Linked DNA regions of Ovis aries. The protein of the gene in region 1 interacts with the protein of each later gene in a pairwise test. Links are inferred from orthologs where the notes say so. Each region holds a gene or a part of one and is shown on either strand. Other genes may lie near its edges.

The links.
Region 2: the proteins of SRC (region 1) and RARA interact in a two-hybrid assay, tested with the Homo sapiens proteins (2 studies listed by BioGRID). The link is inferred for Ovis aries from reciprocal best matches to the Homo sapiens genes SRC and RARA.

What each region holds. Positions count from the first base shown.
Region 1 is NC_056066.1:66,267,751-66,278,587, forward strand, and holds the start of SRC (proto-oncogene tyrosine-protein kinase Src), read left to right. Parts: upstream 1-5,443; 5' UTR 5,444-5,795; intron 5,796-10,837. UniProt on the Homo sapiens protein: Non-receptor protein tyrosine kinase which is activated following engagement of many different classes of cellular receptors including immune response receptors, integrins and other adhesion receptors, receptor protein tyrosine kinases, G protein-coupled receptors as well as cytokine receptors.
Region 2 is NC_056064.1:40,319,250-40,329,497, forward strand, and holds part of RARA (retinoic acid receptor alpha), read left to right. Parts: intron 1-3,753; exon of another isoform or gene 3,754-3,855; intron 3,856-4,100; 5' UTR 4,101-4,450; coding exon 4,451-4,628; intron 4,629-10,248. UniProt on the Homo sapiens protein: Receptor for retinoic acid. Retinoic acid receptors bind as heterodimers to their target response elements in response to their ligands, all-trans or 9-cis retinoic acid, and regulate gene expression in various biological processes.

The sequences.
Region 1 (10,837 bases):
CAAACATTCTGAGATTATGGCGGAAGGAGGCTTGGGGTGGAGGAGGGCAGGTTCTGCTAGCCAGTAACTCTCTGTGTGACCTTGGGAGAGTGTCTGTCCCTCTCTGGGCCTCAACTGATGGGAGTGATGTGATGAATAGCTGAGTTTCTTGGGGGGGGGGACAAGAGTCTCCCCTATTTTCACATGGGCAGCCTCTGTTCTGTCTCCAGACTCCAGGCTGAGAATAGAAATTGAAATCACACATTTCCACCTGTGAAGTGACCGTACAGACTCAGAAGGTGGGCCACAAGGATTCTAGGTGTGCCGGGTGGCATTCAGAGGTCAGTGCGGTCACTCATTGGTCTTCGCTTGGGCTCTATCTGCTCAGGTGCTCACTGTCTCCATCCCTCCCTGGAGGTGGGTAGATGCTGCAGGAGCCTGCAGTTGGCTGACCACCTCTCCAGAGCTCGGCCTCTGAGGACACGTATGCTCACTTGCTCCCAGCTCTCATGGGATTGGGGGCACTCCCTTGGCATCCTGGGTCTTAGGCCTTCGGGCCAGTTTGGCCTCACTCCCTGGAATATAGGTTTGTGCCCCCACCCACCTCCGCACACACACATACACCCTGTAAGCCAGGGGCTCCATCTCCCCTGGTCCTCAGCTGTAGTTGCCATCAGCCCAGAGCCCCACAGACTGCTCCTCCCACCCCTCCATCTGCTCCCTGCTCAGGGACAGCACCTCTGGGCCAACCCTCCATGGCTCCCCATTGCCTCCAGGACAGAAGCCAAGCCTGACATTCAAGCACCTTCATGGCTCCCCCAGCCTCCCTTCCCACCTCCCTTCCCCCAGCCCAGGTGCCCACTGCTCATTCCACTGTGCTCCTTTAGCTCTGCCTGCGCTTGCTTCCAAACAGGGTTTTCAGCCTCTGTGTCTTTGCTCACGCCTTCTCTGCCCATCTTTCATCTGCAACTACTTCCTTCGGCTTCTATAGTCTCCATAGACATCCTCCTTCCTTCACCTGGACTCCATCACACATGCAGAGTCAGAGCCCCTTCCCTCCACCCCCCAATGCTTGCCCATCACTGTGCCAACCACCACACCACCACTCTTCCCCGCTCCTCCAGACTGTGAACATCTCCAAGGCAGAGACCAGACTTGGCTTGTTCACTACTGAATCCCAGAGGTGAATGTGCAGAGCACAGATCCTAGCACACAGTAGACGCTCGGTAAATATTGACTGACCAGAGGAAGGAAGAGTAAGGCTTAGCCAGGGGCTGGAGGGGAGAGGGCATTCCAGGCAGACGGACCAGAGCAGGCGCTTCAGGGTGGAACAAGCTGCTGTGATAACAGGGAGGCAGGCTTCCCATAGTCAAAGTCATGCTTCCCATAGTCAAGGCTACGGTTTTTCCAGTAGTCATGTATGGATGTGAGAGTTAAGACTCTAAAAAAAGCTGAGCGCTGAAGAATTGATGCTTTTGAACTGTGGTGTTGGAGGAGACTCTTGAGAGTCCCTTGGACAGCAAGGAGATCCAACCAGTCCATCCTAAAGGAAATCAGTCCTGAATATTCATTGGAAGGACTGATGCTGAAGCTGAAACTCCAGTACTTTGGCCATGTGATGCAAAGAACTGACTCATGGGGAAAGACCCTGAAGCTGGGAAAGATTGAAGGCAGGAGAAGGGGATGACAGAGGATGAGATGGTTCGATGGCATCAGCGACTCAATGGACATGAGTTTGAGCAAACTCCGGGAGTTGGCAATGGACAGGGAAGCCTGGTGTGCTGCAGTCCATGGGGTCACAAAGAGTCAGACGCGACTGAGCGACTGAACTGAACTGAACTGAACTGATTGAGGCTTCCCAAGAAAGGCCCGAGCAGTTAGCGAGGCTGATGCACTGGACATCTCTGTGTAAACTGTAAATTGTAGCGCCAGGAGAGGTGCCAAACCCATTTCACAGCCTCAGGCCAGAGTCTGTCTTCTTTTCCACCTTGTCCTGTAGCCCTGAGCCTGGTTCTTCGAATTGCAGCAGACTATCTAGGGAATGAGAGGGCGGGTCTGGAATTTCCCACCCAGCGCCTGGGATGGGTCAGCTTCCCAGTGGCTTTCCAAGGATGTGCTGGGCTCAGGGTGGGTGAGGCGAATAGCCTGGGGGAGGTGCAGGCAGTGCCCTGATCCCATCGCATGGGAAAACTCTTGCCACAGGTCTGCTGCCAGCTGTGAGGAGACAGGCCTCACCCCATATGCTTTATCCTGCCCTCAGTTGTGGCTTTGACCCAAGTTGGGGGGAGGAAAAGAGAGGAGGTTTCCAGAGACAGAGAACTGTATACAGCTGGTGCTCACCATCTCCACGGTGTTGACATCAATAACATCTGTCATCTGCTGGGTGCTTGGGGTTGGGAGATTATCCCTCTTGGTGTTCCAGGCCTGGCACAGGGCTGGGTATATTATCGGTGACCAGTGTTTGCCGTTCATGGACAAAGATGAATGATTGGCAGGTATGAAGCAATGAGCTGCTGTTTTACTAACAATCTTTTAAGCAAAATAATATACAAAGAGTCAGTCACCAGTTCCCCAGGCCAGACCAGCAAGCAGCTCTTGCACCTGCATAATCCTGGTAAGGGTATTGCTCCCAATTTATTGATGAGTAAACTGAGGCTCAGAGAGGGCAGGATCACATAGTCAATGAATGAAAGAGTTAGAACTCTTGTATGTATATCCCTAATCCCAGCGCTCTCTTGGCCAGAGAGTGTCGCTTGGCAGTGCCTGCTCTGTGCCAGGGGACAGGCCAGAGTCCCTGCCCTCTGGGTGGGGACAGACACTCCCAAATGGCTCGGGGTGTGCCTCCAGCAGAGGATTGTCAGGAAACTTATCCTGGAGGAGGCCACACTTACTTAGGACCATGATGGACAGCGAGGGTCGGGAAGCTAGAGAGGTGGGGCGAGCATTCCTGGTGGGGGTTACAGCCTGAGTGAAGACCCAGAGGGGTGGTTGAAAATAACGAACTCTTCCAACGCTTAATCATGAAACCACCGTGCTGGCCACATCCTCCCAAAAGACCTCCTGAGAACCTCAGTGGCTGAGCCAAGCCACTGGTGGCTCCAGGTGGAAGGCCACATATGCGCTCACAGAGCCAAGAGGGGTCCCAGCTGCCCCCTCTCCTCCAAGACAGTGGTAGGGTGTGAAAAGGGCTGAGACACACTGAGGGAACATCGCTTCATTTCACGTTCACGTGAGTCTTCTGAGGGGAGCGCACTCTTTAGCTCCTTTTGCAGGTTGGCATAGTGAGGCTCAGAGAAACTCTGCTCCCCTCAAGGAGAGGTAACCATGGAGTGGCAGAGACGGGACTTGAACCGAGGTCTGTGGGTCTGAAGTCTATGCTTTTAAGCACTCTTGTTATCCAAGCTTTAGAAGAAGCCCAGAACTTTCGACTGAACTCCTGGGGATGAATTTAGTGATGGGCTGGTAAATATTTAACAACTAGCTCTCTGGACTTAAAAAAAAAAAAAAAAGCTTTGATTTGTCGTGTCTGCTGGTTTCTGCGGTGTTAAAAGTTCCACTTCTGCTGACGTCAAGCTACCAGGATGATATCACTGAATGTGGAGTTGGGAAGAGATGAACCCAATCTGCTTCTGCACGAGAGAAGAGCCAGCTTCAGCACACCACTGGATGAACACCCCGCCCTGAGCCCAGGCCCCCCAGTAAAGGCCTGCAGGCCTGTCTGAGGAGTGAATGACGGCTGAGAAACCTGCTCCTCCAGGTAGGGCCCCGCCCAGCATATCCTAGGAAGCTGGGGTTAATCTTTAAACCAGCCTTGCAAATACCTGCAGCCATTTCACCAGCCAGGGTTGGCTTCTGGTGCTGGCTCTCTTGCTGACTTGCTGTGGGACTTCAAGCAGCCCCTTCCCCTTCTGGCCTCAGTTTACGGACCATAAGCGCTTTACCTTTGTTGAGCACAACCTCGCCACCCTCACTCTTGTCAGTTCTAACCTTCCCGGAAGTTGTCTGTGGACATGTTTACTCCCGTTTCATAGGCGAGGGGACCTGGGCTGGGGAAGGTGATGGACTCGTAGAAGGTACAGCAGCTGGGCAACCAGTCTAGATTTGAACCCAGATCAGTCCAGCTTAAGGCCTTGCTCATTCCTGGTCTCCCAGGTACTGTACTGTACCCTGAGGCCCTTGCCTCCCACAGTCTTGAGTTTCCCTCCCTGCTCCTCTCAGGAGAAGTCCAGGCTTCTACCATTTGACCTGGACTGGGCTTTACTTTCCCATCTGTGAAATGGGAAAACTTTCAGAGAAGGAAAACAGAGGCAGATGGTGGCATTTAAAGCTGGATTCAGGCCCACCTTCCCCTGTGCAGTAATCCCAGGAGGACCTGTGAAAAGCCAAAGGCAGGACTAGCACATGTGCTCAGTTGCGTTTGACTCTTTGCAATCCCATGAACTGAAACCTGCCACCAGGCTCCTCTGTTCGTGGAATTTTCCAGGCAAGAATACTGGAGTGGGTTGCCATTCCCTTCTCTAGGGGATCTTCCCGAGCCAGGGATCGAACCCACGTCTCCTGCCCTGGCAGGCAGGTTCTTTACCACTGACTATAATTGCCACTGAATACCTGCTTTGGCCCCTCCTAAGGGGCTTACTCAGAGAAGGCAATGGCACCCCACTCCAGTACTCTTGCCTGGAAAATCCCATGGGCGGAGGAGCCTGGTAGGCTGCAGCCCAAGGGGTCGCTAAGAGTCGGACACAACTGAGTGACTTCACTTTCACTTTTCCCTTTCATGCATTGGAGAAGGAAATGGCAACCCACTCCAGTGTTCTCGCCTGGAGAGTCCCAGTGATGGTGGTGGAGCCTGGTGGGCTGCCGTCTGTGGGGTCGCACAGAGTCGGACACGACTGAAGCAACCTAGCAGCAGCAGCAGCAAGGGGCTTACTGGAAGCCCTTTATAAGTTCCTTATCTGGAACTTATTGGCTTCTTAGTTACTTTTTTTTTTTCTTCTGATGCACTTTAAAATGAATGCATAGCTATTAAGATAAAAATGCTGCTCCTTACCACACTGTCCTGCCTGTCTCAGTCCCCAGTTTGGGAAATTCAGGTTAAGGCCAGGGTCCAAGACCTGGCTTTTGTCAGGTGAGTCCCTTCTCTGTGCCTCAGTTTCTTCATCTGTAAAATGGGGGTGATCATTGGCCTGCCCAGCCCACTTGGTTGGTAGGAATAGATCCTAAAGTTGACCTGAACAGCTTAGCATGGCACCGGGTAAGGAATGAGTTCTCCATCAGTGCTGCTGTTACTGATTATCAGTAATAATTTCATGAGAGGTAGACTTGGGGTCAGTTGGGTGGGTGGGTTGGGAGGAGTTGGGGAGGGTATTTTGGCTTGAGAGCTGATGGGTGGGTGCCCCATGGGAAGGGAGCACTCTCAGGGCGGGGTAGGGGGCGGGGCTTCCGTGGCCGGAGCCCCCGCCCTTCCATTCCCTGGCCGCCGGGACCCCGGGCGTGGGGAGGCCGCGCGCGGGACTCTCCCAGGTCACCGGCGGGGACCCGTCCCGGCACGCTTCCTTCTTCCTCCCCCTCCCGGCGGCCTGCCGGGCCCCTCCTCCCTGCTCGCGCGCTCCCTCCCTCCTCTTCCCCTCCCCGGGCCGCCGCCTCCTCCTCCTCCTCCGCCTCCCTTTCTCTCTCGATCTGTCTCTCCTGGCCCGGAATCCATTCCGGCCCGGGAGCCGGAGCGGCCAGGCCGCCGTGTGCCCGAACCCCTGGCCGTCCGGCGGTCCGTCCTCCAGTGCGTCTGTCTGCCCGGTGCGTCCGTCTGCCTGCCGGTCCAGGTGAGCGCCCCCCGCCCCTCCGCCGGCCCCGGCTCCCGGCCCGCGTGAGGGAGCCCCCCGCCCGGGGACCACCCTGGCGTCCGATCGCTGGGCCGCGGGGGCTCCTGCCCCCCTCCAAACCTCACCCCTCGAGCCAAGCGGCGATCCCGGGGCGCAGGGCGGGCGCACCGGGACTTGTCTGGCGCGGCCTTTTGTTGTGATGCCGCGGGGGGGGGGGAGGGGTTTGGTGGGGGGCGTAGGGGTCTTGTCCTCGCGAGGACCCCCCCCTCCCGCTCATGCTCCCTCTGCGGGCCCCCTGAGAGCAGCGAGCCGGGCCCGAGCCCCCAGGCCAGGTCTAGGCCAAATCTGAAATCTGAACCAGTCGGCGCCGCCTCTGGCCGCCGCTACCCAGCCTGGCGCCCCCAGCCCGGGATGGGAGGTGGAGAAGGGCCGGCAGGGTGGGCCTGGGGGGGCGCCGGGCAGGGGGTGCCGGGCCAGAACACCAGGATCTCCTTGTCCTCGTGGGGCCTTGGGTAGGGCCTGGTGCTGCCGGCCTGGAAAGGACTGGGCCAAACTGTGGTTGGTCCCAGCTGCCCACAGCCCCCAGCCTCCTCTCTGGGCAGGCCCTACCTCCGGTCTGCTCAGAAGTTGGCAAAAGTTTAAGATTTGGCCCCCAGGCCGGGTCCATCTGCCTGCCTGGGCTGGGGTTGGTGGTGGGTTTGAGTCCCAGTGGGGGCTCCGCTTTCCTGCCCTGCTGTGCTTCCTTGAGCAACTGCCTGCCCTCTCTGAGCTGGGGGCCCTTGTCAGGTCCAGCTGTGGGCCTGGCTGAGCCTACTGGGCTGGTGGAAGGACTGGGTGAACAGAAGGGGCTCACCTGTGGGGTAGCAGTTCAACCTCTGGGGCCTTCAGGCGGACTTGAGAGTCGGCAGAGCCTGTGGGGCCCTGGGTGAGGTGTCCCCGGCTTCAGGGACTCTGTCCAGTTGGGGCAGTGGTCTCTGGATCACCTGGGGTGACTCCAGGCCTGGCTTCAGTCAGCTGAGATCAGACTTGATTTTAAGAATGGAGCAGGCTGACGCTGTTGCTGACCCTCATCTTGGCTTTCTGGCTGGAGAGACAAGACCTCGGCTTCTGGTCACACTGGGCTACCTGGGCCAAAGGACCGCCCCTCTGAGTCTGCTTGTGTGCGGTGGGGATCCCCAGGGGAAACCTGTAGGCACTTCTGCAGGTAGGGCCTTGGCATGTAGTAGGTGTTCAATAAATGAGCATGGCACTGGATGAATGGCCTGAAAAAGATGGGCATGAGATGAGATGGCTGGCTCTTGTGGGGCTTATTCCAGAAGAGGGTGGATCGGTGTCCCCAAAGCCACCTCCTAACCCCTTGAGGAGGAACCAGCCTCAGTGCAGTCTTGCCACCCAGCACTTGAGACAACTCGCTTCTCCTTCTGGCCTCAGGTTTGTTCAGTATAAAATGGGCTTGTGAGAATGATAGCTGCTAACATCTATCGAGTACCTCCTAGGAGGTAGGGACTTTTGTGTATCCCCTTTTTGCTGGGGAAGAAACTGAGGCTCTGAGAGCGGAAGTGACTTGACCGAGCCACATAGTTTGAAGCTGGAATGAGAGCCTAGAGCTCAGAGTGCCCGGTCGGGCTGTCCTTGTTCCCTTCCCGTGATGGAGGAATGGGTGTTTCTCAGTATGGGACCAGGCACACGACAGTGTTGGAAGAGACTCGGATGAGTGATTGTGTGGATGCCACGAGGCCCTTTGGGTGAGGTGGTGTGCTGTGGTGATGTGGTCTTTCCACCCAAGGAAATGATTTACAGTGTGTCACCTCTCAGCTGACTGCCTGCCTAGGCCCTCCTGTGTGACTCCAGGGCCTTTGCTCCTGAGGGTTTCCCTGCCGGGAGTGCCCTCTCCTCTAAGAGCTGCTTGTCTGCTTTTGCTCTTTAAGGCTTCGTTTAAGGCCCACCTCTTCCAGGAAGGCCTCCCAGCTTTCTCCTCCTCTCCCCTAGCCTCTTCCCAGGCGTGAAGTATCCCCAGTGCATAGCCAGTTCCTGCTTTGGCTTCTACCCTGATTGTGACCTGACCTGGGAGTGGTGGGGTGGTGGGTGGGGGGAGGTTGTCTGGCTCCCTCAAACCCCAGGAGCCAGGAAGGAGACGGCTCAGTGGCCTGTGACCAACCACCCATTCCCTGAACCTCAACTGACCCCATTTTCCCAAACCTGCCGAGATACAAGCATCCATGGCCCTGTGTTGAGTACCTATGATGTTCTACGGGCTTTGATCTTGAGCTGAGCAGTGTGTGATGGGTTAGCAGTGGGAGCTGTAGGAGACCTTGGGAGGCTTCCAGGAGGTGGTGACAGGGGCGGGGGGCGGGGAGCAACATTTTCCTCAACAAAGAAGGGGACACAGTACTCTTTTCTTCCTTTCAGCTCAGACATGTCCCAGGGCCCCTGGGGGAGGCTCTGGGACATGTGTGGGAGTGGTCAGTTTGGGTGGGTCCTTGCTGGGGAATTGTGAACAGTCCTGGCTGCCCAGAAATGTAAGTCTAGAGGGTGAGCCAAGTATAATAGCAAACAAGTTACCAAGTAAATGAATATATAATCACAGATGTGATAAGGGTTGAGAGAGAGGTGTGGGGTGCAGAAAAGTCGTGAAAGAAGCATAGAGGAGTCCGCCAGGCGTGGAGCTGGGGATAGGGCTTACCAGGCAGAGGGAACTCATGTGCAAAGGCCCTGAGGTGGGGAGTGTGTGCTGTTCTGGAGAAACAATGGGAGAGCTTGTGAGTCTGGAGCACAGAAAATTAAGACGAGCAGATGAGAGGTGAAACGAGGGGATGTTATCAGCAGGGCTGAGCCATGTGGGGCCACATGGGCCTTGGGAAGGAGTCTGGCTTCCATCTTCGCACAAGGCGCCAATTGGTGTCGCCTGTGTGAACAGCTCCAATTTGGGGACCAGGGAGGTCTGAGCTGACCAAGTCACCTGGGAGAAGTAAATCTGTGGGCTGGACTCCACGTATTCTGTGGGGGCGTAGATCAGGTGTCAAGAGGAGGAGGCACTGGAGGCTGGGCTTTGAAAGTAGAGTAGGAGTTCTGTAGCAGGAAAGCAGGAGAGGGTGAGAGCCAGGGTAGGGGCAGTGCCATGCAGAGTGGCTGGATGGAGGCTGGGAGCAGGAAGCAGTTGGCTGGGGAGCTGGAGACTAAGGTACAGTAAGGGCTCAGGAGTCAGACAGGCCTGCATTCAAGTTCTGACCATGCCTGCTTGCCAGGTGTCCTTGGCTCGTTCATCCTGTCTTTCTGAGACTTAGCTTCCTTGTCTTGAAAATGGGAACAGTAAATATCTCCCTATGGGGTGAGGGTTCAAGGAGGGCTGTAAGCCTAATGCTTGGAACCAGCAGGTCCTCAGGGAAGTGGGCCCTGCCCTGTGCAGTGTGAACACTGGGAGGGTTAGTTGCCTCGATGAGTTGACCCCTCTGCAGCTGTCCCATGAAGGCTTCAAGGGAATGGGCTCACTAATTCTGAAGGTGCTGGCCTCAGAAAGGATGTTGGTGGCCAAGGCCGTCCATATACTGGGTGACCGGAGTCCTGCTTTGCCCTGTGTGTGAGGAGGCTGAGTTGGGGAGAGCTCTATGGGTCCAGCTTGTCCCAACTTTTGGAAACCTTGCCTTCAGTGATATTAGCCATTTTTCTACCTGTGAATACTGAGACCCGGAGGGGGAAGACACTTGGTAGGGTCTCCCAGTTGCCAAGTGACAGAGCTGAACCTAGGCTTGGGGCTCTGGGCTCCTAGTCCTAAGAGACCCTTCAGAGGCCTCCGCCCCCTGCCCTGGGCCTTTTGACCAGAGCCTCACTTCCTGCCTTAGCTGTGTGGCCACCCAGCCTCTATCTCTCCTGGGTTCCCCCAGCCCTTTACTTCCCCTCCGCTGCTCCTCCCCACTTATCTCCATGGTAAACCACTCTGGTCTCCACTTGAGCCCCTAGAGGGTTGGGGACCGCTTCCTTTGGGGGCACTTCAATTTCCTCATCTATGAAGTGGGATGGTATGAGTCATGGCTCCTGCGGTGTCCCAAGGGGACTGAAATAAAGCGTTTACATTAGCTGGATGAATGGTGGGAACAGCTAGATACATGGTCAAGTCCATCGTTTTCTGGCAGCTGACACCCCCTTCCTGTGACTCAGTTTCTAATGCTGTAAAATGGGCATGGGGCTTGCACTTAGTAGGTCCAAAAGGAGGACGAGGTGAGGCCATAACCTAGGCTCTCACCTGGTGGCTGGCTCTGCATCACTATTCCTGGGGGGGGGGGTGACCCCAGAGGTACCTCCCCTGTGTTCAAGGCCGGGTTCCCAGCTGTCTGTCCAAAGGCAGATCACTCAGCCTCTCTGAACGTCACCTCCCTCCTTAGGATTAAATCAACAAATGTCTCTCAGCACTTGAAACTACTGGATGTCCAGTAAATGTTACGTCTTTCTTTCTCCCTTCTCCTCCCTTGCGCACATGCTAAGTCACTTTAGTCATGTCTGAGTCTTTGCAACCCTATGGATGTAGCCTGCCAGGCTCCTCTGTCCGTGGGATTCTCCAGGCAAGAATACTGGAGTGGGTTGCCATGCCCTCATCCAGGGGATCTTCCAGATCCAGGGATCGAACCCATGTCTCTTGTGTCTCCTGCACTGGCAGTTGGGTTCTTTACCACTAGCGCCACCTGGGAAACCCTCCCCTCCCTTGGGGAGGACTCATATGTTGCCCAATCTAGGGATGGCCCTGGGACTCAGATCCCCCAGACCTGGACTGCTCTGTTAAAAAACATGCTGCGGCCCAGTCTGAGGCTTCACGGGAAAGGGTGCTGTGATAGATTAATAATGTTAGATATCACTGTGTATGTGCCATGAGTTTGTCTTTCCTGATCTATTCTGAGCTTCTCTTTTTACAGATGGGGGAATTGAGGCCAGAAAGACGCAGGACATAGTATTCAAGCAGGGTGAAAAATGCACATCTCCTATCTTCTCATCCAGGGCTCTCCCCACCCAGCCAGCTTGTTCGCAATACAGCCCCACAGTACAATGCCGGG
Region 2 (10,248 bases), on another chromosome or scaffold:
AAATCACACAGCCAGTTGTTGAGGTAGGCAGTTCACAGGCGAGTAAACAGATGCTTGGGGAGGTTAAGTGACTTGTCTAAGGTCACCCAGAGTGGCAGAGCTGAGATTTGACCCTTCAAAACCTTTGGTTCTTTCTGCTGTCTTCACGGCTCGGCCACCTTTTGTCTCTCTCTAGATGTGAGGCTCTGGGGACCTAAGGAACTGGTGGCTGGGACTCCTGACTCTGGGGAAGGGGTCCTGGCACCTTTGAGGGTGGGGGAGTCCCCAGCGGGCAGGGGTGCCTGGCTGGTGGTCAGCGCTTCGACCCTCCTGCCACCCCCTTTGTGCTGTGCTGAGGCTGAGCTCGGTGTATGGGAGGTGAGGGCCTGTGGTTTTTCCCTCCCTTGAGGGAGGGTGCCCGTGGGCAGTGGAGGTGACAGGCACAGGGTGGAGGTTGGATGTGGGTAATTTGTTTTCCCTTTCTTTGGTGCTGGTTTCGATTCTCTGACAGTGTCTTCTCCACCCCGGGTGCCGGGGGCCAGGGCCCAGGCATCTCCCCGAGGGTGGTCACGGTTCCAGAGAAACCTACTGAGGCTGCGCCTGGGCTCTTTGACCCCACCCTCCTCATCCCTGCTCTTGCCCATCCCTGTTCCCTGGCCAGCCTGGCCCTTGGCCCATTTCTGTGACCTTTACCCCGTCCCTTGACTCAAGGCCTTCCCCAGGGAGTTGAGTAACTTTGCATTGAAGTTTGCAGGCTGAGCTCCTTTGGTGAAGCTCTGATGGGGGTGGGGGACGCCTTCCAGCCTCTCCCTGGGGTGTGTATCTGTGAGTGAGGTTTGAAGTATGGTCCAGTTTCAAACTTCTCAGGGGCAGAGTTGAAGCATATTAAGGTGGTTGTTGTTAGTCTCTCTTTTGGGGTAAGGGTGGGCTCCAGAGGGTCCAGACTGAATCCGCCCCCACCCTCCAAAAGCTGGGTCAGGAGGCCTGGAGTCTGGAGTGAATGGCTTCCTGGGCTTCACCTCCGGAGGTAGCCCCCCTGTGGACCTGAATCCACTGGAGTGCTTCTCTATGTTTGTGGACCCTGCTCTGTTGGGGGGCTGGCCCACAGGGAGGCAGGTGCAGAGGCCAGCCTGGCTGGGTGAGGACCAGGGAAACCGTGAGGCTGTGGTTGTGTGTCTGTGAGGAGTTGTGTCCTGGGCCATGCATGCAGACCTGGAGCCGGCTTCATTGTGTGTGGAGCCTAGGTGTGGGGGAGCGTGTATCTGGGTTCCCCCTCCTCGTGTGCCATGTGCATGTCTGCATGCACACAGGCTGGGTGTGCAAACGTGCCCTTGCCCACCGGACACTTTCCCTAGAACTGTGTGTGTAAGTGCCTGCAAGTGTGTGTGTGTGTGTGTGTGTGTGTGTGTGTGTGTGTGTGTGTGTGAGTGAGGGTCTGACTGTCAACACTACTGAGGCTGAGCCTGCCCCTCATTCTTGTGCTAGCTCGAGTTCCCCTGTGTAGGGCCCCTCAGGGGTGTGTAGGGGGGCCAGGTCGGCAGCTGGCCCAATGGGTGGGGCCCCTGTTCCTCTGACATCAGCCTGTCTGCCTGGGAGGGAATCGGCGGGGGCCTGGGGAAGGAAGGGGGCACCTCATTCAGGAGTAAGAGAGGCCCTGAGGAGGTCATAATTAGTAACAGTAAAAATCATGGTCATTAACAAGGTCCAGATTTCACTCCTGGGGAGCTGCCCCCCTCCCTTGCAAGTACCTGTCCCCACCTCCCCCCTCAGCCCCGCACAGTCACAGGCTGGCTGGCTCGTACAGCTGGGCCCAGAAGTCCTGGCCTCGTCCACAGTGGCCTTGGCAGAACTCCTCCATCTCAGGCATCGTTCTTGGCCAAATGCTGGCCATGTGCATGTCCCCTGGACTCCAGGTCTGAGCCTGGAGCCTGGAGCTTGGAACATGGTATTATGGCCTGAGCTTGGAGAGGAAGGGGTTGGAGGCCATCCTTATTTTGAGTCTCTGTGGCCCTGTTTTCTTTTCTTCTCTTTTCTCTTCCCTTCCTCCCCTTAACAGCTTTATGGAGATGTAATTCGTGTACCATAAAATCCACCTAGTAAAGTGTACAATTCAGTGGTTTTACTATAGTCACAGAGTTGTGCAACCATCACCACGTTCACTTGTAGAAATTTTTCATCACTCCAAAAAGAGCCCCCATACCATTCAGCAGTCACTTCCCATTTCCCTCAAACCCACACCCACACCACCCCCCCACCCCGTAACTAACCACAATCTACTCTGCCTTTTTAGATTTGCCTGTTTTGGACATTTCATATAAAGGGAATCATACAACAGGTGGTCTTTTACAACTAGCAGATTGTTTTCAAGGTTTATCCGTGATGTAGTATGTGTCAGGACTTTGTCCCTTTTTAGAAAATATTCATGTGTTTGTTTATTTGGCTGCGCCAGGTCTCGGTTGCGGCACTCGAGATCCTTCATCTTCGTTGCCATGTGTGGGATCTTTAGCTGCGGCATGGGAACTTTTAGTTGCAGCATGTGGGATCTAGTTCCCTGACCAGGGATCAAGCCCAGGCTGCCTGCGTTGGGAGCGCGGAGTCTTAGCCACTGACCACAAGGGAAGTCCCAGTGCCTTGTTCCTTTTATGGCAGAATACTATTCCACTGTATGGATGTTCGGCATTTTATTTATCCATTCATCTGTTGATGGACATTTGGGTCGGTTCTACTCTTTTGGCTATGAGGAGTGTTGGTGTGAAGGTTCGTATCCAGGTACAGGTGTTTGTGTGGACTTAATGTTTTACCTTCAATTGGGTAGATACCTAGAAGTGGAATTGCTGGGTCGTATTACTCTGTGTTTAACCTCCTGAAGAACTGCCAGGCTGTTTTCCAAAGCAGCTGTACCATTTAACATTCCTGCCAACTATGTATGAAGGTTCAATTTCTCCACATCCTCACCTACTTATTATCAGTCTTCTTGATTATAGCCATCTTGGTGGATGCAAGATGGTATCTCATTGTGGCTTTGATTAGTCATGTTTCTCTTTTCTTTTTCATATATGTCACAGGTGTGTGTATGTGTGTGTATACACACACTCATATATAAATACATGCATGTTTATTGATATTCTTCATATATATCCTCCTGGCCCTCTTGTGGATGCTTCTGTCTCTCTGTCTCTTTCTTTACTCTTGTTGCTGCCTGTCTGTCTCACTGTGTCGTGGAATTTCTGGGTTCACCTCTGTCTCTTGCTACCTGCGGTGTTATCTTTGTGTATCCTCAGGCCCCAGCTGTTCAAACAGGGTGTGGATCTGTGTATACACTGATGGTGGTGGGGGCATCTGGGCTCTCATCTTCTGCTCACCTCCCACTCCCTCCAGGGAGGTTGCTTCTCCAGGCAGAGGATGTGGGTGAAGTCTGAGCTCAGTTTCCCTTGCTTCTTCATCGTGGGCGAGGGGAGTAGGGGGCTTCCATGCTAGGTAGTCCCCTGGCACACTCTCCACCCCCAGCCCATCATGCTGTTAGGCAATGGAGATGATACTCAGGAGTCCTCAGCTCCCATTTCCCTATTTGTAGGTATGTAAACGGGCCTCCTCCCTGGGTCTGTGGGACAAACCCATCTGGGGTGCTCAGGCTTGGATTTGGGGGGGAAGTGGTGTAAGTAAGGCCCCCTGGCTTAGGAGTCATTTTTCTGAGAAGTGCCAATGCTTTAGGGAAGCGGCTTTTCCTCCCCCTCCCTCCTCCTCTCAAGCACACGTTCTCTGTATCTTGACCTCAGGTAACCTGCTTTGGGGGAAGGAGGGCCAGCTGCCTTTCTCTGCTGCAGGAATCCTCTGGGGTGGCATGGCAGCGTGGACGCTTTGCTCTCAGGACTGTGGGTGAGAGGCCCTCCTCGCTCTGGGCTCTGTCCCCGTCTCCCCAGCCTGGCTGTGCTGTCCTGCCGCCCCCAGCAGTGTCTGGGCCCTACTCCCAGGCTGTTTCTGCCAGCCAGGCATGGTGCCAGCTGTCTGCTCAGCCGGGTGCCACGGGAAAATCTCCGGCCGCCCAGGTTGGGGAGCTCCACGGGGAATGCCCGTGAGCCCGCTCCTCGGTGTCCACTCACCTGTCTTTTCTCTCTCTGCAGCATCACAGGACATGGCCCCCACAGCCGCCTAGCCGGGGCCCACCCAGGAGAGGCTTCCTTTTCGTCATCCTGAAGGCCTGCTCTGGACCTTCCCGGGAAAGTGCCAGCTCGCAGAACCGCTTGACTAAAGGACTGGCTCTCGGGACATCCCTCAGCCCACCGGCTCCCCCTAGAGTGGGGGTGCCAGGAGCCTGAGATTAGCCCGCTGGCCTTGGACTGCAGCTCCGGGACAGAAGGGGGGGTGGGCTGACCACCCGAGCCCCCTCTGGGCCCAGGCCCCATGCCCCGAGGAGAGGCGGCCTGAAGCCCGCCAGACTGTCTGCCTGTGCTTCTGACTGTGGCCGCCTGGCATGGCCAGCAACAGCAGCTCCTGCCCAACACCTGGGGGAGGGCACCTCAATGGGTACCCGGTGCCCCCCTACGCCTTCTTCTTCCCCCCCATGCTGGGTGGACTCTCCCCCCCAGGCGCTCTGACCACTCTCCAGCACCAGCTTCCAGTGAGCGGCTATAGCACGCCATCCCCAGCCAGTAAGTGGGGTCGGGGAGTGTTGTGGGAGGGGGCTGTGGAGGGCGGCAGGCCCAAGGCTGGGCCTCTGGGCACATCTCTTCCTCAGCGGCCAGGTCTCCTCCAGACGGGGGGGACCTGCTGGACAAGCGGGCTTGAGGATGAAAGGCCAGTAGGCTAATCGCCGTGGTTGTGTTTTTTGTTGGGAGGTGGCACGGAGTGTGGAGAGCTGAGACAATGCTGTCCTCTGGCCCCTCGCGCCCCCTCATGTGCTCTGCCGTTGAGGGCCTTATAAATAGCTCCAAGCACTGGACAAGGAGGCTGGAGTTGGGTAAACAAACCTCTCGACATTTGGTGGGGATGGCTGGTCTGCTGAGAACAGCACCCCACCTCCAGCCCACCCCATCCAGTGCCTCTGAGAGAAGGGACTGGAGTAGCACCCCCTCCCCTCACTGCTGGCCAGGCGGGGTGGTGCTTCCCTTTGTGGGGAGGGCGCCGGGGCAGGAGAGGGCCCCACAGGCAGCCTGGGGATGGGGGGAGAGTCCGGGAGGGGACACAGGCCTGGACTCTGGCTGTGGCCGCAGGCCTGCTCTTGGCAGGGCCTGTGTTTTCTCTCCGCCTCCGCCGTCTGCCATGGGGGGTCGCCTGTTGGCTGGGTGGGGGTCTCGGTACCCTTCCCTGGCTGGCCGAGCCAGGTAGTGGGAGGTGGCGGCACTGAGGCCAGCTGGCAGAGTCCAGGCCTCGGTCCTGCCAGGCGGCTTACAGTAACTCTGGCCCCCAGGGCCCAGCTGGGCGCCAGGCCAGGGTTTGGGGGAGGAGGGAGCCGGGGCCTGGCCTGGGGCAGGAGGGGGTGGAAGCCGTAGAAGGGGGCCATGGACGGCGGACTGGCCTGGCCGGTCAGCTGTTGACCTGGGAAACGTGTCCCACCTCTCCTGGCAGGCAGGGACTGAACAGCCTGCCCTGGGCACCCACCGCCTCTCCCATGCCACTGGCAAGCTGCCTGGCACCGCTGCCCTGTGCGCCTGGCTGGGCTGGGTCAGTGCCCCCTTCCCAGCTTGGGGGTAGCGCACTCTCCCCGGAGCCAGGGAGTCTCTTTGTCCCTGGGGCAGGCCCTGGCTGGGCGCCTCACTGCCCGCACTGGCCGGCTGCCCACCGCCACCACTGCTTCCTGGCTCGCCTCCTCTGGCTTGCTCGGTGGCCCCCTCCCTCTCCAGCCCCACCAGCCGCTGAGAGCAGGGGCTCTAAGTCTGTGTTCCTTTCGGTCCCTACCCTCTGTGCCCCGGGGAAGGGGGCAGGCGGATGCTGCCTCCTCAAACCTCACCTTCTGTTTCCTCCCATGGAGGGGGCACAGCGGGCAGCATCATGACCTGGGAGTCAGAATGATTCTGGCCTGGTCTTCAGTCTGTGCTCGGTGATGGGAGAGGCCAATCTCTGAGTTAGGGGATGCTGGAGAAGGGGCAAGTGGGTCTGGGGTGCCTGGGATCTGTGTGGGAACTGGAGTTCACATCCCAGTTCCAGGAACTAGAGTGTCTTGCTTCCCGCCAGGGTGGGGTTTTTAGGGAGGGAGAAACCGAGAGCGCTCAGCCTGGTGCTGGTGGACAGCTTGCTCTTCCCCAGGTGATTGGGAACAGGGCCCTGGACGCTGTCCCCCTGGGGCCTGGCTCACGGAGGGCTGGCCTGACCCCTGTCTTGTGCCGGACAAGCGAGTGTTTTGCTCTCCTTTTCGAATGTTGCAAGCTTCTTCCTCTTTCTTCGAGGTGGGTGGGGAGGGTTTCCGGGTACCCCACCTCCTACCCTGGTAACCTTCTTCCCCCAGGGTGGGGTGCCCACATTTCTGGTTAAGCAATGCCCCTTCCTGCCCCCCTCCCTCTGTGAGCCAGTGGGTTTCCCTGCCTCTTCCTAGTAAACAACAACACCTCTTTTTACCCAGACCCCCAGCTTCTGAGCTTCTCCCTGACCTTCCTTCCCCTTAGGTCAGGAACCTCCCCATCCACCCTGAGGGAGCCAGGCATCTCCCTCTTTCTCGTGGAAGGCTGTGGGACCTGGTAACCCTGGCTTTCAGCTCTGCGTAGTGCAGCATGACAAATCAAAGTTCAGACCTGGAGGCAGCCTCACTCCCCCCACCTGAGGGCCAGTGCTGGGGGCCAGGCATTTCCCAGGAGGGTGGACAGCTGTGGCCCCCATCCCCACCAGGAGTGATTATATGTTCTGGTCCCCTGCCACCCATTCTGCAGGCAGCCTGGCACAGGAGGCCCCCTCCTCCCACTTGCCGCCAACAAAGGTGTTGTCCATCCTTCCATCCCTCTCGCCAAGCTGGGGTGGGGGGAGGCTGGACCCTGGGTGTGCTTCAGAGACTCAGTGGCCTGTGGAAGGACAGAACTGTTCTCTAGGTCAGTGGCGACGGGTGGGTATTTGTCCTGCTGTTATCTCTCTCTCCCGGGAAGCCAGAGTGGGAAGTTCCAGGGATGGTACGAGATCTCCCCCTCCAAACCAGTCCTGGAGGTTTGGTCTCTTGAGGACTGGTATTTACTGTGGAGGCTTGGGATTCTGTGTGCCTTGTGGGGAGGGTGATGGTTGTGTGTGTTTTGGGAGGGAGGTGAGGGTTGGGTGTGTTTTAGGGGTGGGGAGGTCAAGGTTGGGTGTGTGCTGGGGAGGGGGTCAATGGCTTAAAAGTATTGGGTGAGAGGGTCAGAGTGTGTTTGAGGAGAATCAGATCCAGAGTCGGGAGGGGTATCAATGTGTTTGTGTGCTGCAGGGGGAGGTGACTTAGGGCACTGAATGTGTAAGGGGGAGGGGTCTGTGATTGTGTTGTGTGTTTGGAGGGGGAAGGGTCTCTATTTCTTATCGCTAGTCTAGGCTGGAGAGGAAACGCACCTGCCTTTTTTTATTGCTTGCCCTGGGAATTCCATGAGGTAGGAGGGGTTGCTGTGGAGTAGGCTGTGTAGCTTGAGTTCTGGCTTTGCCATTTACTAAGTGTGACAACCTCTCCGAGCGTGTTTCCTCGTCTGTAAAACAGGGATCTAAGCAGAACCTCCCTCAGACGGCTGAGGTTAGGCAAGATCGCCGACGTAATGCACTCTGCTCCTGGTCTTGCATGCGCTCATGGCTGTCTCGTGGTACCCGGGTGTTATGACGGGAAGAGGATCGTGACCCTTTTCTGGGTGGGAGCTGGAGAGAATGGGATGCTAACATCTGTGGAGCGCCCACTGTGTGCCTGGGACCTTATCTCTGTTTTACAAATCTGAATCCCGACAATCTGGGAGAGGGACATTATCTCCCTTTACACCTGAGGAAACAGCGCTGGTGGTTACGTGGCTGAGCTGAGTGACCCTACAGCTGGGCTGTTGTCTGCCATCCAGATAGGCAGCCCCGGGAGGGTATGGTGGGGAGCCCTGGGTATGAGGAGTCTGGGGGGCGGATCAGGGCCATGGTGAAACCCCCGCTTCCCTGGCTGAAGGTAGGAGGAAGCCCCGCTTCTGCTTCAGGACCTCCCGGCTTCACCCAGCAGGGGGCGTAGGGAAGGCCTCCCCTAGCCACGCCCCTTCTTCTGTTTTTGATCCTGAAGGCTGGAGGGAAAGAGCGATAAGAGGCCTGGGCCAGATCTCCATCCTGTCCTGGAAGCTGCGGATACAATCTGTTCACACCCGTCCCCGCCCCCGAGTCAGCCCACTGCAGCCCCGGGAGTTTGCAGAGCTCAGCGGGCCAGCCTCCCCCCATCTCCAGACAGACACTGGAGGAACCGAGTGTAAAAGCCACATTCTTTTTCTTATTTTGTTTCCATTTGTGGAGTGGGGGCAGGGAAGCTGGAAGCCACGGGGAGAGGAACTGGGGATGGGAGCCCCGAAAGACCGGGTCCAGACTTTTCGTTTCCATCCACACATTTGCTATGTATGCCTAGAAACGGGGGAGCGGCTCTACGGTCTGGGGGAGCCTGGGGAGACTTCCTCTCCTCTGCCACTCCCTCTCCTGCCCACTCTTTCCCTGGACAACAGGAGAGAGCCCAGGGGGAGGGGAAACTGCTAGCAGTGCCCTTCCTGGGGTCCAAAATGCAGAGTCAGCCGAAAGACTGTTGGATGGGGTTTTGAATGAAAATGGGGCCCCCTCACCTTTTATCTCGAAGCACTGGTAGTGCACAGACCCTCTCAGGGCCAGATCCCAGCATGGGCTGGGGGAGGGGACTCCGGGACGGAAGCCTGTCCTCTAGGCTGGCCCAGACCTGAGACATAGTGTGTGCCCATGCCAAGGGCCCTGTGCCCATGGGGATGTGCCAGTGCAGGCCTGACCACCCTTTGAGGGGTAGTGTCTGTGGAAAGAGGAAATGTTTCCCTTCTCCAAATCACTTTGGGGTGGTGCCCACAACGCCTTCTTCCTCCTCTCCCTTTTCAAAGGTGGGGCATAACCCATGGAGTCGGACCTCCCAGGGTAGACCAGAGGCCCTCAGCTCTGGCTAGATCAGAAATAGAGGTCCTCCCCTCCCCATTCTTACTTCTGAGTTGCAGAGAATCTCAGCCCACGGACCAAGGCCCCTTTGGCAGAAGTCTTTAAAGGACAGCTCTTCCCGTGTGGCCGGGGGCAGGTCACTCAACCTCTTTTGAGTCCATTTCCTCTTTAAATCAGGACTCCTAATCTGTTCCTTGCTGGGGCAGGCTGCTAGGAGGCCATGGTGACCTGCCTGCTGGTGAGGGCCTGGGCGAGCTTCAAGTACCCTGTAAAATCAGTGATGATGGGGTCGGGGGGAGTGGGGGCATGGAGCTGGTATTGTCTTGGGGGATGGCACCCTGTACTGGGACCTGATGTCTGTCCAGCTCCTGGGTCTCATTATTTCCTGTTTGTTATCCCCTCTAGATGGGGTCGGGGACCAGAGGGAGCCGCGCCTGGGGGGAAAAGTGGGGGCCAGTTCAGTTCAGCCCACACCTGCTGAGGGCCTGCTAAGCACACAGTGCTGGAGGAGTTATGGGGATGTGGCAGAGGAGGACAGGGGCCCCAGACCTGCCGCTAGGCCCTCCCCACCTCCCCTGCTACCCCCTGTGGCCAGCCAGAACCTGCCGGAACCTTCCTTTTCCCTCTTCTCCCATTGCCCCAGGACACTGTGTTCTACTCTGACCTGCCCCGTGACCTTGCTGTTGCCCAGAACAGGCATCTCACCCTGATTTCTCCCCTTCTCCAGCTCCGGAAATCCTATCCATCCTTCAAGGAACATCTTGAATACCGCCTCTTCCCAGAAACCTTCATAGATGTTCCCTCTTCCTCTCTCTCTCTCCACCCCACCCCCACCTCCTTTGAATGCCCGCAGGTCCTTATTTTTTCTTCTATAAAACTCATTTCTCTCCCACAAAGGGACTCCTCTCCACCTGATACCCACCGTGAGCTATAATCATTTGGGAGATCTCTTCTCGATCACCAGGTCTGCGGTGGCAGGGACAGTCCCTGATTCTTGAGCACCTCAAAGCTGCGAATGCAAGGCCTAGCACATAACTGGTGTCATTGGGAGGAAAGATACCAAGGGCCTTGGAAGCAATCTGCCCTCTTCCCCAGCAGTCTCATCCCCAGCCACGGCTTGCATCTGTGCTGTAGGTCCCAGCTTTCCTTCTGCAGCCCAGACACCTCACTTAGGTGAGACCTCACTTTGGAGCCCCACACCCA